3 separate regions of the Mus musculus genome follow, and regions 1 and 3 are each reported to be linked to region 2. The links are microRNA targets in miRTarBase. Many come from high-throughput screens and were not tested one by one. Region 2 holds a microRNA gene; each other region holds the end of a gene's coding sequence.

What was found. Region 2 holds the annotated microRNA mmu-miR-105 (CCAAGUGCUCAGAUGCUUGUGGU, at 1,051-1,073, shown strand). A microRNA usually pairs through its seed, bases 2 to 8, with sites in the 3' UTR of a target mRNA and lowers its output. Matches are read on the target gene's strand: a 7mer-m8 pairs with bases 2 to 8, a 7mer-A1 pairs with bases 2 to 7 and ends in A, and an 8mer does both.
Region 1: the mRNA of Nhlrc2 is a reported target of mmu-miR-105. Seed matches in the 3' UTR shown: 7mer-A1 at 2,278-2,284.
Region 3: the mRNA of Chek2 is a reported target of mmu-miR-105. Seed matches in the 3' UTR shown: 7mer-m8 at 542-548.

The regions. Positions count from the first base shown.
Region 1 is chr19:56,596,942-56,600,296 of GRCm38, reverse strand. Nhlrc2 (NHL repeat containing 2) reads right to left here. Exons shown (of 11, transcript NM_025811.3): 11 at 1,451-3,041. The coding sequence ends at 2,785. Among named protein-coding and RNA genes, the nearest start is that of Nhlrc2, 50 kb to the right of the region's middle.
Region 2 is chrX:72,589,620-72,592,619 of GRCm38, reverse strand. Mir105 (microRNA 105) reads left to right here and starts at 1,041; the gene lies at 1,041-1,120. The region is part of intron 1 of Gabra3 (gamma-aminobutyric acid (GABA) A receptor, subunit alpha 3); the gene reads left to right. It overlaps Mir767 (microRNA 767), which reads left to right and starts at 2,526; the gene lies at 2,526-2,632.
Region 3 is chr5:110,873,157-110,876,511 of GRCm38, forward strand. Chek2 (checkpoint kinase 2) reads left to right here. Exons shown (of 15, transcript NM_016681.4): 15 at 324-984. The coding sequence ends at 410. Among named protein-coding and RNA genes, the nearest start is that of Ttc28, 5.0 kb to the right of the region's middle.

The DNA of each region.
Region 1 (3,355 bases), not on the chromosome of region 2:
GTGGCCATAAATTATTGTCATTATTAGAACTAAACTGATAAGTAGCAGTTCATAAATTACTCCCTGCTAAATGCCGTGGGAGCATTTTACTGAAGCCTGGCGGCAAGCCCAGGCTTGGTCCAGCAGCCCAGCTCTGCAGGGCAAGACACTGCTAGAGTCTATACTCCTGCCACTATACCATGCTAAACAATAAAACACCGTAATTATCCCTGTCCTCACCAACTACAATTTTAAAGGAAACTGGTAAATGAAAGGACTCTAAATAGACCCCCATCTTTGGTAACAGAAGTGGCTTTAGAAAAATTATTAGTGCTTACAATTCAGATTATTTTAGTATCTTTGAGAAGATTAGATTACTCTCTAAAGTACTGGCCATTGAGTATTCTCAGAGGTAGAATTTCAGTGAGACAGCACGGGCTTGCTCATTTAGAGCTTAGGTGACACGGCCCCTGCACGTGGCTTTATGTTACTGTTCACTACAAAACATAGCTTTTCGTGATTTCATTTTCCTCCTGAGGACTGAACCCAGGGCCTCTGCGCACGGCAAAGAACCATCTTCCAAATGAGTTAACAACTCTGATCTTTGCCAAGCCAGAGGCAAAGGCAGAAGCTGAAGACTTTTCCCTGGATGGAGAAAGACAGTCAGTTCCGCGTATGTGGAGAAACCATGGTTACACATGTTCATTAAGTCCTAGATTTCCCACACTGCAAAACAGAGGCCCACATAACCTATCTCAGTGGTGTGAGCCCCAAGGCAGACAGAGTTGTCTCAGGACAACTACAAGGCTCTCAGAGAGGACAGGAGACGCTGCAGCTCCAGAAGTGCTGTGACCAAGGTTTCCTCCTGGCAGACACTGTGTCAGTCCTGACCCTAGGAAAGCGCACTCTGCTCACTGAGCACCTTCTCCGTCCATCCCCACTAACATTCTGCTGTGACCAGCAGTGCAGAGAGGCAGGTGGGTGGGGTGTGCAGCCACCGAGATCCCCGCAGTCACTGAAGACTCAAGTAAGATCCTACCCAGGCAAAGGGAAAATCAAGGGAGTTAAAGAATATTTTGGGATTTTTAAGGTACATCAAACTACAGAATACATGCTTGTATTTTCAGAGTGAAAAATAATTTCCACACAAGCTAAACTGTATATACCCTGTTTTAGAGAGTGAAACTGTTTATGTCCTCAAACAGGAAATGACTGAACCAAAATATTCTCATCCCGTCCAACTGGAAATAAACGAGGAATCCAACAAATCAACGAGGGCTGCGGCGCTCTGAGGCCCTCCACAGACCACCAGCTCCAGGCTGGAGCTGCAGAGCCGCTGCCTTGGCTGGTTCTAGGTGCAAAGGTTTCTGAGGTAACCACGGGCAACTCTAAACAGGACCCCTCCCTTTCACGTTCGCCTTGCTCCTGAGAAACAGCATTTCTAAGTTAATAACGGAAGTCAGCAAGTTTTCACTTCAGATTTTTTTTTTTTTTTAGTTAACTGAACAATAAAACAAGCAAATGTTACCTATCAAAAACTACTGCAAAAATTAACTAATAAATAGGTAGACTATGCTTAAATGCTTATTAAATTTATAGGTGGGGCTCAGACAATGCTTCTGAAACCTTGTAGTCTTAGTAAAACACATGTCCACTCAGTTTTAGAAGAGCAAGGCTCTTAAACAGTTATGATGATAATCTATGATAATTCAAGTTAACAATGAAAACCAAACCTCTCCAGGATCCCTTCCAGTGCTGTTTCTTACGGGGTTAAAGAAAACACATACCAAAACAGTATCAGTAAATCACTGTGTGTTTCAGCCCTAATATTTTAAATGAAAGTGTATTAGTATAACTATACCCTGAAAATAGCAAATTGAAGGTTTACATGTGATTTTTCAAAATATCAGAATTAATGATCATAATTTAAATTCTAAATATGGGAACCAAAACAGTAACAAAAATCTCAAACCCAACAATTCTGTTACTTAACTCTTAAAACTGACATCTAAATTTCCAAAATAGCATGATGCTCATGACAGCCAGCCTAGCCACTACAATAACCCATCACACACAGCAACACAGCAGTCTCCACCCACACCCAGGTCAGCATGCCTCTGGGAGCCAGGCATTGCCTGCTAGGAATTATGCTCATTAAATACAGTTAAAGGTAGGTCTGCATGCCTTTAGAAATTCTATATTTTTCTTTTTTATATAAAGTTATAAGGCATTAATAATAGAATGTTAAAACAAATAATTTATAATAAAAATAGATTAAAACTCTCTTTTAAAAATACCTCAAGTGAGAAAAATCACCGGAGGTAAGTAACTACTCATACACGCTGAGTTTGTGCCGAGTGAATACTTTCTGTTCTGGCTTTAAGCAGACCTTAGACACTAAACAGCAGGTATCCTGACACAAAGGCGCACAGCTTAGGCCCATCTCAAGTTACTGGAAATTTACACACGAATGGATAACCACTACTGATAAAGGCAGGTTATTTAAACTATCTGGCATGATTAGTTTTGACTACAAATATAATACTCTCTGATATAGCATGGACTGTTGCTTTTAAAACAAATAACAGCAAAGCTTACAGTGCCGTGGTAAAATGATGGTCAATGACTTGGCTAGCACACAGCTAAAATGAAGAAATTTGTTTAGAATTAAAATACTAATAAGGAGCACAGCTTTATTTTGGTATCAGTTGTTACAACTGAGCAATGGGTTACTATAATGCTTTTTCCCTAAGCGACGAATGGCAGGATGGACAGGGCCTGTGCTGAGGGCTGCTGGCCAGCCTTCTAGAATGCGTATGCGAGCTCTACAGGAGCTGCACAAGCTGGCTGGGTGCTGGTTATCTGCAAAGGCTGCCTGAACACGACTCCCTTCATCATACATGCGCTGCTGTCTGCACTGCAGTAATAAAGAAACACGACGACAGACACCACAGCTTCCAGTGACAAGCAATGGGTAGGAATCTGCAGGGAAATCGCCGGCTGATTGGAAATATTCTCTATGTCTCCAGATGGGGTCTGTTCTTGAAGTAGCCATTCATTGCCTAGAAAACAGGAGAGAATATTAAGACTATAAAAAAAAAAAATACAAGAGGCCGAGGCACAGCGATGGGCAAAGTGTGAGAGACAGAATTCAGACACCTAGAACTCACGTAAGTGCTGGGTCTATGTGACGCCCATCTGAAATCCCCACACGGGAGTTGGGACAGGGAATCCCCACAGCTGTCAAAGTATTCAGAGCAGTGAGCTCGGGGTTACTGAGACATCATTTCTCCGTATTTTAGGTGGAGAGAGATCAAAGAAGACACATGGCATTAACCACATGCATGCTCAAACATGTGAATGTCCATGTATACAT
Region 2 (3,000 bases):
CTGAACATTTAGCACAAGGTTTCATTTTGTACCGTTTACCTCTTCTCTTGACTGAAAACTTTATTTTGTTTGTGGATGTTGAATTGAGCTTATCTTTCTGTCTCGACCCACTACTGTAGTTTATCTGATTGCTTATTATATGTGTACACTATCAACCACTATTGTTATCTGAAGATACATGATGGAAACTACTAACCCATCCTAAGTATAAAAGACAAAAAAATTCATGATTTCCTTCGGAATATAGAATGATTTGCATTAGTATGAATATTAGTTGTAATATTGTGGCCAGTAGATCTTGTACAGGGAAGGATCCCTCAGTTTATGCTGACTGCTCATATACAGTTTCTATTATCAATACTAATAGTTGTTTCTTCATATAATGGGATACCTTTGATTTTTTTTTTACCAGAAACAAGCACAAATCCACATATGCCATGGCCTGATTTCATGTAACTTGATTTGGTTTCATTGTCATCCTCTTGAAGCAGAGGTATCCATTGCTTATATACTTTTCTTATTAGCATACCATGTCTGAGTAATAATCACATCACGGTTTATTTCTGTAATTTGTCGACATGTACTGGTATTACAATTAGTAGCCTGTGTTCTGTAGGTGTACGGCTATATATTAGAAACATATATTCCAAGACTTTTTCTTACATTTTAGTCATCTAAGCATCCTATACTATTCAGTTATTCTCTTAGACCAATGGCATGCATTCATTCTTTTAATAAAGTTGAATGGAGTTTATTATTTTATTATTTTTGGCATCACATGCATTTCATTTTTCATATGTGAACTGAGTCATTATCCAAAATGGTTACATAACTAAAAATTTTCAGTCACGTGTTTGAAGTTGTTATACGATTTGTATACATAATGACAGTCTGTTTTTTTCAGAAATGGAATATTTTGCTCCTTTCATGTTAATCTGTACACTGTGTGCTTTCCTACTAATATGAGTTTCTCTCTCCTTTGTCATTGATGTCTTCGCCTGTAACATGGCATTAACACCTGTTGCAAGATGCTCTGTGTGTGCATTTTAGCCAAGTGCTCAGATGCTTGTGGTGGCTGCTTATGCACCACGAATGCTTGAGCATGTGCTATGGTACCTACTTTTACAACATTGCCATCTGCTTCTGGAACAAAGCCATTCATTACTCTGTTTTTAAACCATGTTCCATGGCTGTCTGTCAGGTGACTCACAGCATATTGTCATTTATTATTGTACTTAAAACGGTGGGCGGTGAAGCCAAAATATTTGTGTTTGAATTTGAAAGTATTGATTGTTAACTGTGGGGTCTTGAATACCTCAAATTGCATTTCTGTTCTTTTATTTCCACAAAATGCCAAAGATGTCTCATAAATCTGTACATATTAATACATGATTGCATTTCCAACACTGAGTAGAATGTTGTGAAGTATATGTGACAACAGTAATGGTGGTGCTGATATGATATTCCTTGATTTCTTGTCATGGGTGCCAGTCTCAGTTCTGCAGCTAATGTACATGTCTTTATGGTAAAACAATGATACTTGCAATAGTGTTTTTTTTTTCTTCCATTTTTTATTAGGTATTTAGCTCATTTACATTTCCAATGCTATACCAAAAGTCCCCCATACCCACCCACCCCCACTCCCCTACCCACCCACTCCCCCTTTTTGGCCCTGGCGTTACCCTGTACTGGGGCATATAAAGTTTGCGTGTCCAATGGGCCTCTCTTTCCAGTGATGGCCGACTAGGCCATCTTTTGATACATATGCAGTTAGAGTCAAGAGCTCCGGGATACTGGTTAGTTCATTATGTTGTTCCGCCTATAGGGTTGCAGATCCCTTTAGCTCCTTGGGTACTTTCTCTAGCTCCTCCATTGGGAGTCCTGTGATCCATCCATTAGCTGACTGTGAGCATCCACTTCTGTGTTTTCTAGGCCCCGGCATAGTCTCACAAGAGACAGCTACATCTGGGTCCTTTCAGCAAAATCTTGCTAGTGTATGCAATGGTGTCAGCGTTTGGATGCTGATTATGGGGTGGATCCCTGGATATGGCAGTCTCTACATGGACCATCCTTTCATCTCAGCTCCAAACTTTGTCTCTGTAACTCCTTCCCAGGGTGTTTTGTTCCCTATTCTAAGGAGGGGCATAGTGTCCACACTTCAGTTTTAAAGACTGTGGCATAAGCTTATGCAATGGAGTGCTGACTCTCTTTGAATCAATGCTATCTGGAGTATTCTATTAATCATAACATGATTATTTTCTGCTCTTCTATAATCATTTTTCCCTAATATACTTGACCATCTACTCTTAAGCTATAGTCAAACTATTTGCTTGTAATGTCTGGAAATACACGTTGGTGCAATGCTTCATCATCAGAGAATTGTATGAATATATGTTGTGTTATTGCCTTTAGCATCATTGCCATGTCTTGGTGGCCTTATGAATGCTACCTTTATTCTCATCTCTTGTTTATCTTGGCATATTCCCGTGTTATTTGTTCCTGTATCACATCTACTTTTGTATTATAGAATCCATATAGGTTTTTACTCATGCACCATGGTTGTCTGAGCACATAACATGCTTGTCTGCTCATACCCTATGGTTCCTGAAGAGGAATCTTAACTGTCTACTGCTCTATAGGAAAACAGTGTTTTATGTATCAGTTTATATTTTTGGTTGCTTTTTCCTAGTACATGGACCTCTGCTCCCTTAACATACTGGTGTTTTTCCTGTACCATCTCTATCTGTTCCAATTCTATGGATGTTAACTTGCCACTAGACTTCCTGTGCATCATAGTCCAGTGCTCAAATAAATCCCATGCACTATGACTGCTTAAGCATGTAACAATAGTTTCTCATGTGTTTTATCAGTATGATCTTCTCCTAGTCTGAAGGGAACCATGATTTACTAATTTCAAAATGATTCCATGTCTACTTGTTATAGCATAATTTTTAACTTATACATATCACAAAACTATATAACTAAGCAGCATGATCAGAT
Region 3 (3,355 bases), not on the chromosome of region 2:
GGTAACCCTGTGGGAGCCGGGAGCTCTGGCTGCTTTACAATCATACCTCACCCAGAATTTTGCTAGGAAAGATCCAATTTGAACTTGCTTTTGTGTCACTTGAAAGGTTTTTTTTTTTTTTTTAAGTGGCTGTACATTTATTAGTGGTTAGAAATCGCCAGGGAGCATGGATAAGCATCTTGATTCCAGAGGTGTGTGAGGAGGATTCGGTTGTCATGACAACTAGTCATTTCCATGAAATGCCCCTAGTTTACTGAACTATGAGGAGCTTTGATAGAAGCTGTGCTTTCTCTTAAACACTTCTCCTTTTGCTTTATTTCCAGACTTCCAGTCAAAAGCGGCCCCTGGAACTGGAGGTGGAGGGTATGCCGAGCACAAAACGCCTGTCTGTGTGTGGGGCTGTGTTGTGAGCTTTGAATGTGAAAGAAATGTGCTTCCTTCCACGCTCCAATTGTCTTCTCCATCTTGACATCTTTTTTTTATATGTATATATTTTTTAAAAAATATAGCCAGGCAGTTGTGGCCCACTCCTTTAATCCCAGCACTTGGGAGGCAGAGGCAGGCAGATTTCTGAGTTCAAGGCCAGCCTGGTCTACAGAGTGAGTTCCAGGATAGCCAGGACTACACAGAGAAACCCTGTCTTGGAAAAAAAAACAAACAAGAAACAAAACAAAATAGCCTATATGATGGAACAATTGCTTTTCCATCACAGATACACGATTAAAAAACGTGGAAATCTGGGCTGATTGTTTGATGACCTGCACTTTAGATTTCTTTCTTTCTTTCTTTCATTTTAAGAAAAATGTTAGGGGGTGGTGTTGAGAGATTAACACCACTCCTGTTGAGGGCTGCAGTTCAGTTCCCAGCACCCATGTAACTACATTTCTGGATCGGATGCCCTCACCTGGCCTCTCTGGTCACCTACTACACATGTGTTCATGTACACAGAAACACATAATCATTAAAAAGAATATTCTAAAACAATGTTAGTAGTTTGTTGTGGCTTTTCATCTGGATCCTCACATTGCCAGTCTGCCCTATCAGGATGTCACTCTGGTTTTAGGCTCATCCGTCTAAATACAAATTCTAAAAGTCCCTTAGAAGGTCCAAGTCCCACTGGCCATGGTAATCTACACCTATGATCCCAGCACTCTAGAGGCAGGACAATGTTTGAGTTGACTTTGAGGCCTGTCTGATCTTTAGAGCAAATTTTAGGACAGCCAGGGTACACAGAGAAACAATCTCTTTCTCTAAACTTTCTCTTTTATCTTTAAACTCTTTTTTTCTCTGTCTAAACTTTTTCTCTGTCTAAACTCTTTCTCTCTCTCGTTTCTCTATCTCCCAACTTTCTTTTTCTCTCTCTAAACTCTCTAAACTTTCTATTTCTAAACTCTTTTTTTCTATCTCTAAACTTTTTCTCTGTCTAAACACACTCTCTCCCTCTCTCTCCCTCTCTCTTAACTTTTCTTTCTCTTTCTCTAAACTTTTTCTCTTTTCATCTCTAAACTTTTTTCTCTCTCTAAACTTTCTATCTCCAAACTCTCTTTTTCTCTCTAAACTCTTTTTCTCTCTCTAAACATACTCTCTCCCTCTCCTTTTCCCTCTCCCTCTCCCTCTCCCTCTCTCTCTCTCTCTCTCTCTCTCACACACACACACACACACACACACACACACACACACACACACACACACACACTCAGTCCCTTGGAAAGAAAAGGGCATCTGGATGTTGGGTGATTTGTACTGGCTGGCTGCCAAGGAGCCCATGGTGCTGCTGCCTGTTATAGGCCAGTCTGAAATTCATATCCCTTAGGGTTCTCACACTCCTGTAATCCATCCCAGACCTTGAGAAGCAGAAATAGTAAGATATTGACTTTGAGGGCAGCCTGAACTGTATAGTGAGACTTTTGCCTTAAAAAATGGATAAAACACAGAAATTATGCTCAGTCCTGTACAGTTTACATCTCTAAACTCCTGGGGCTACATTAAATTCAGATATTAATATCTCCCCCACCCCCACCCCACCAACAGTTTTAGGCAGGTGATAGAGTGCTGCTTTAAATTGGGTCCTCCAGCCATCCATGTGGTAGACATATAGAGAAGTAAGGGGGGAGATAGAGATGTCTCTCTAGTGGTTAAGAGCATTGGTTGTCATGCTGTCACTGCGGGTCATGTCTGGGTCTGTGGTCATGTAGTAGCAGGGGCCTGTTGATTTCTTGGATCATATTACTACATAGACCATGCAGACCTCCCTGGTCTGGGCTGCTGTGTGGGAGAGACCTCATAGATATCCAAGGGCTGATATCCAGATATCCAGAGCTGGCCCCACCCCTGACTGGCTGCAGCAATCAGGAGAGCAGGCCTTCCACCTTGCAGGAGCAGCACAGAGCTGGCCCCACTGCCATGATGGGACATGGGTGCAGTGGAGATGCCCTCCCCCATCCCTCAACACCTGAGGCAGGTCCTAGGTCATGAGAACAGGCAGGACTTGGGAGAGTGGCCTTGCACCTTGTCTGGGCAACAGCCAGCTCTGAGGGAGTGAGTGGGAGAGCTGGCCCAGCCCCTCACTGCCAGCTGCAGTATTGGGTGAGCTAGCAAGGGCAGTGCTAGAAAGCTTGCCCTGGTGGTGCAGATATGAGAGAGCTGGTGGGCTAGCCATCTGTCTCAGCTACCACCCAGATCCAGCGCTTTGAGTTGTCCCACCCCAAAATCTAATTCATCTATGAGCTGCTGGAGCATGTGCAAGGGCTGGTCCTACAGATCCAAAGCTGCAGGATTTCCATGATCCAGGCCAACAACAGGATAACTAAGAGGAGTCCTGTGAGGATCCAGTATTGATAGTGTTGCAGAAGCAAGAAGACTCAAACCAGACCAGTGACTAAATGCAATGAACATTTGCAAGATGTGTGGACAAGAGGGTAGGTATACTGTAGAACACACCCTGGCACACTATAGTGTCCGTGTCAAAATGCTCTCCATGGGGTGTGTTTGTGGGGAAGTTGCAAGGGAAGAGGGGGATGTGAAGGGACGGGGAGATGAGTGAGATTGGGGTGCAGGTGCATAATGTGAGACTCACAAAAATAAATAAATAAATAAAAAGTTGAAAAGCATTGGCTGCTCCTCCAAGAGCACCTGAGTTCAATTCCCAACATCCTTATGGTACCTCAAAACTGTAGCTAAGCAGCATGGTGGCGGCCCACGCCTTCAATCCTTGCACTTGGAGGCAGCTGCAGGTGGATCTGAGTTTGAGGCTAAGCCTGGTCTACAGAGTGAGTTCCAGGACAGCCAGGACTGAGAAACTCTGTCTCCATAAACCAAACATTAAACCAAAACCAAAAGCAAACTCCATCTTGAG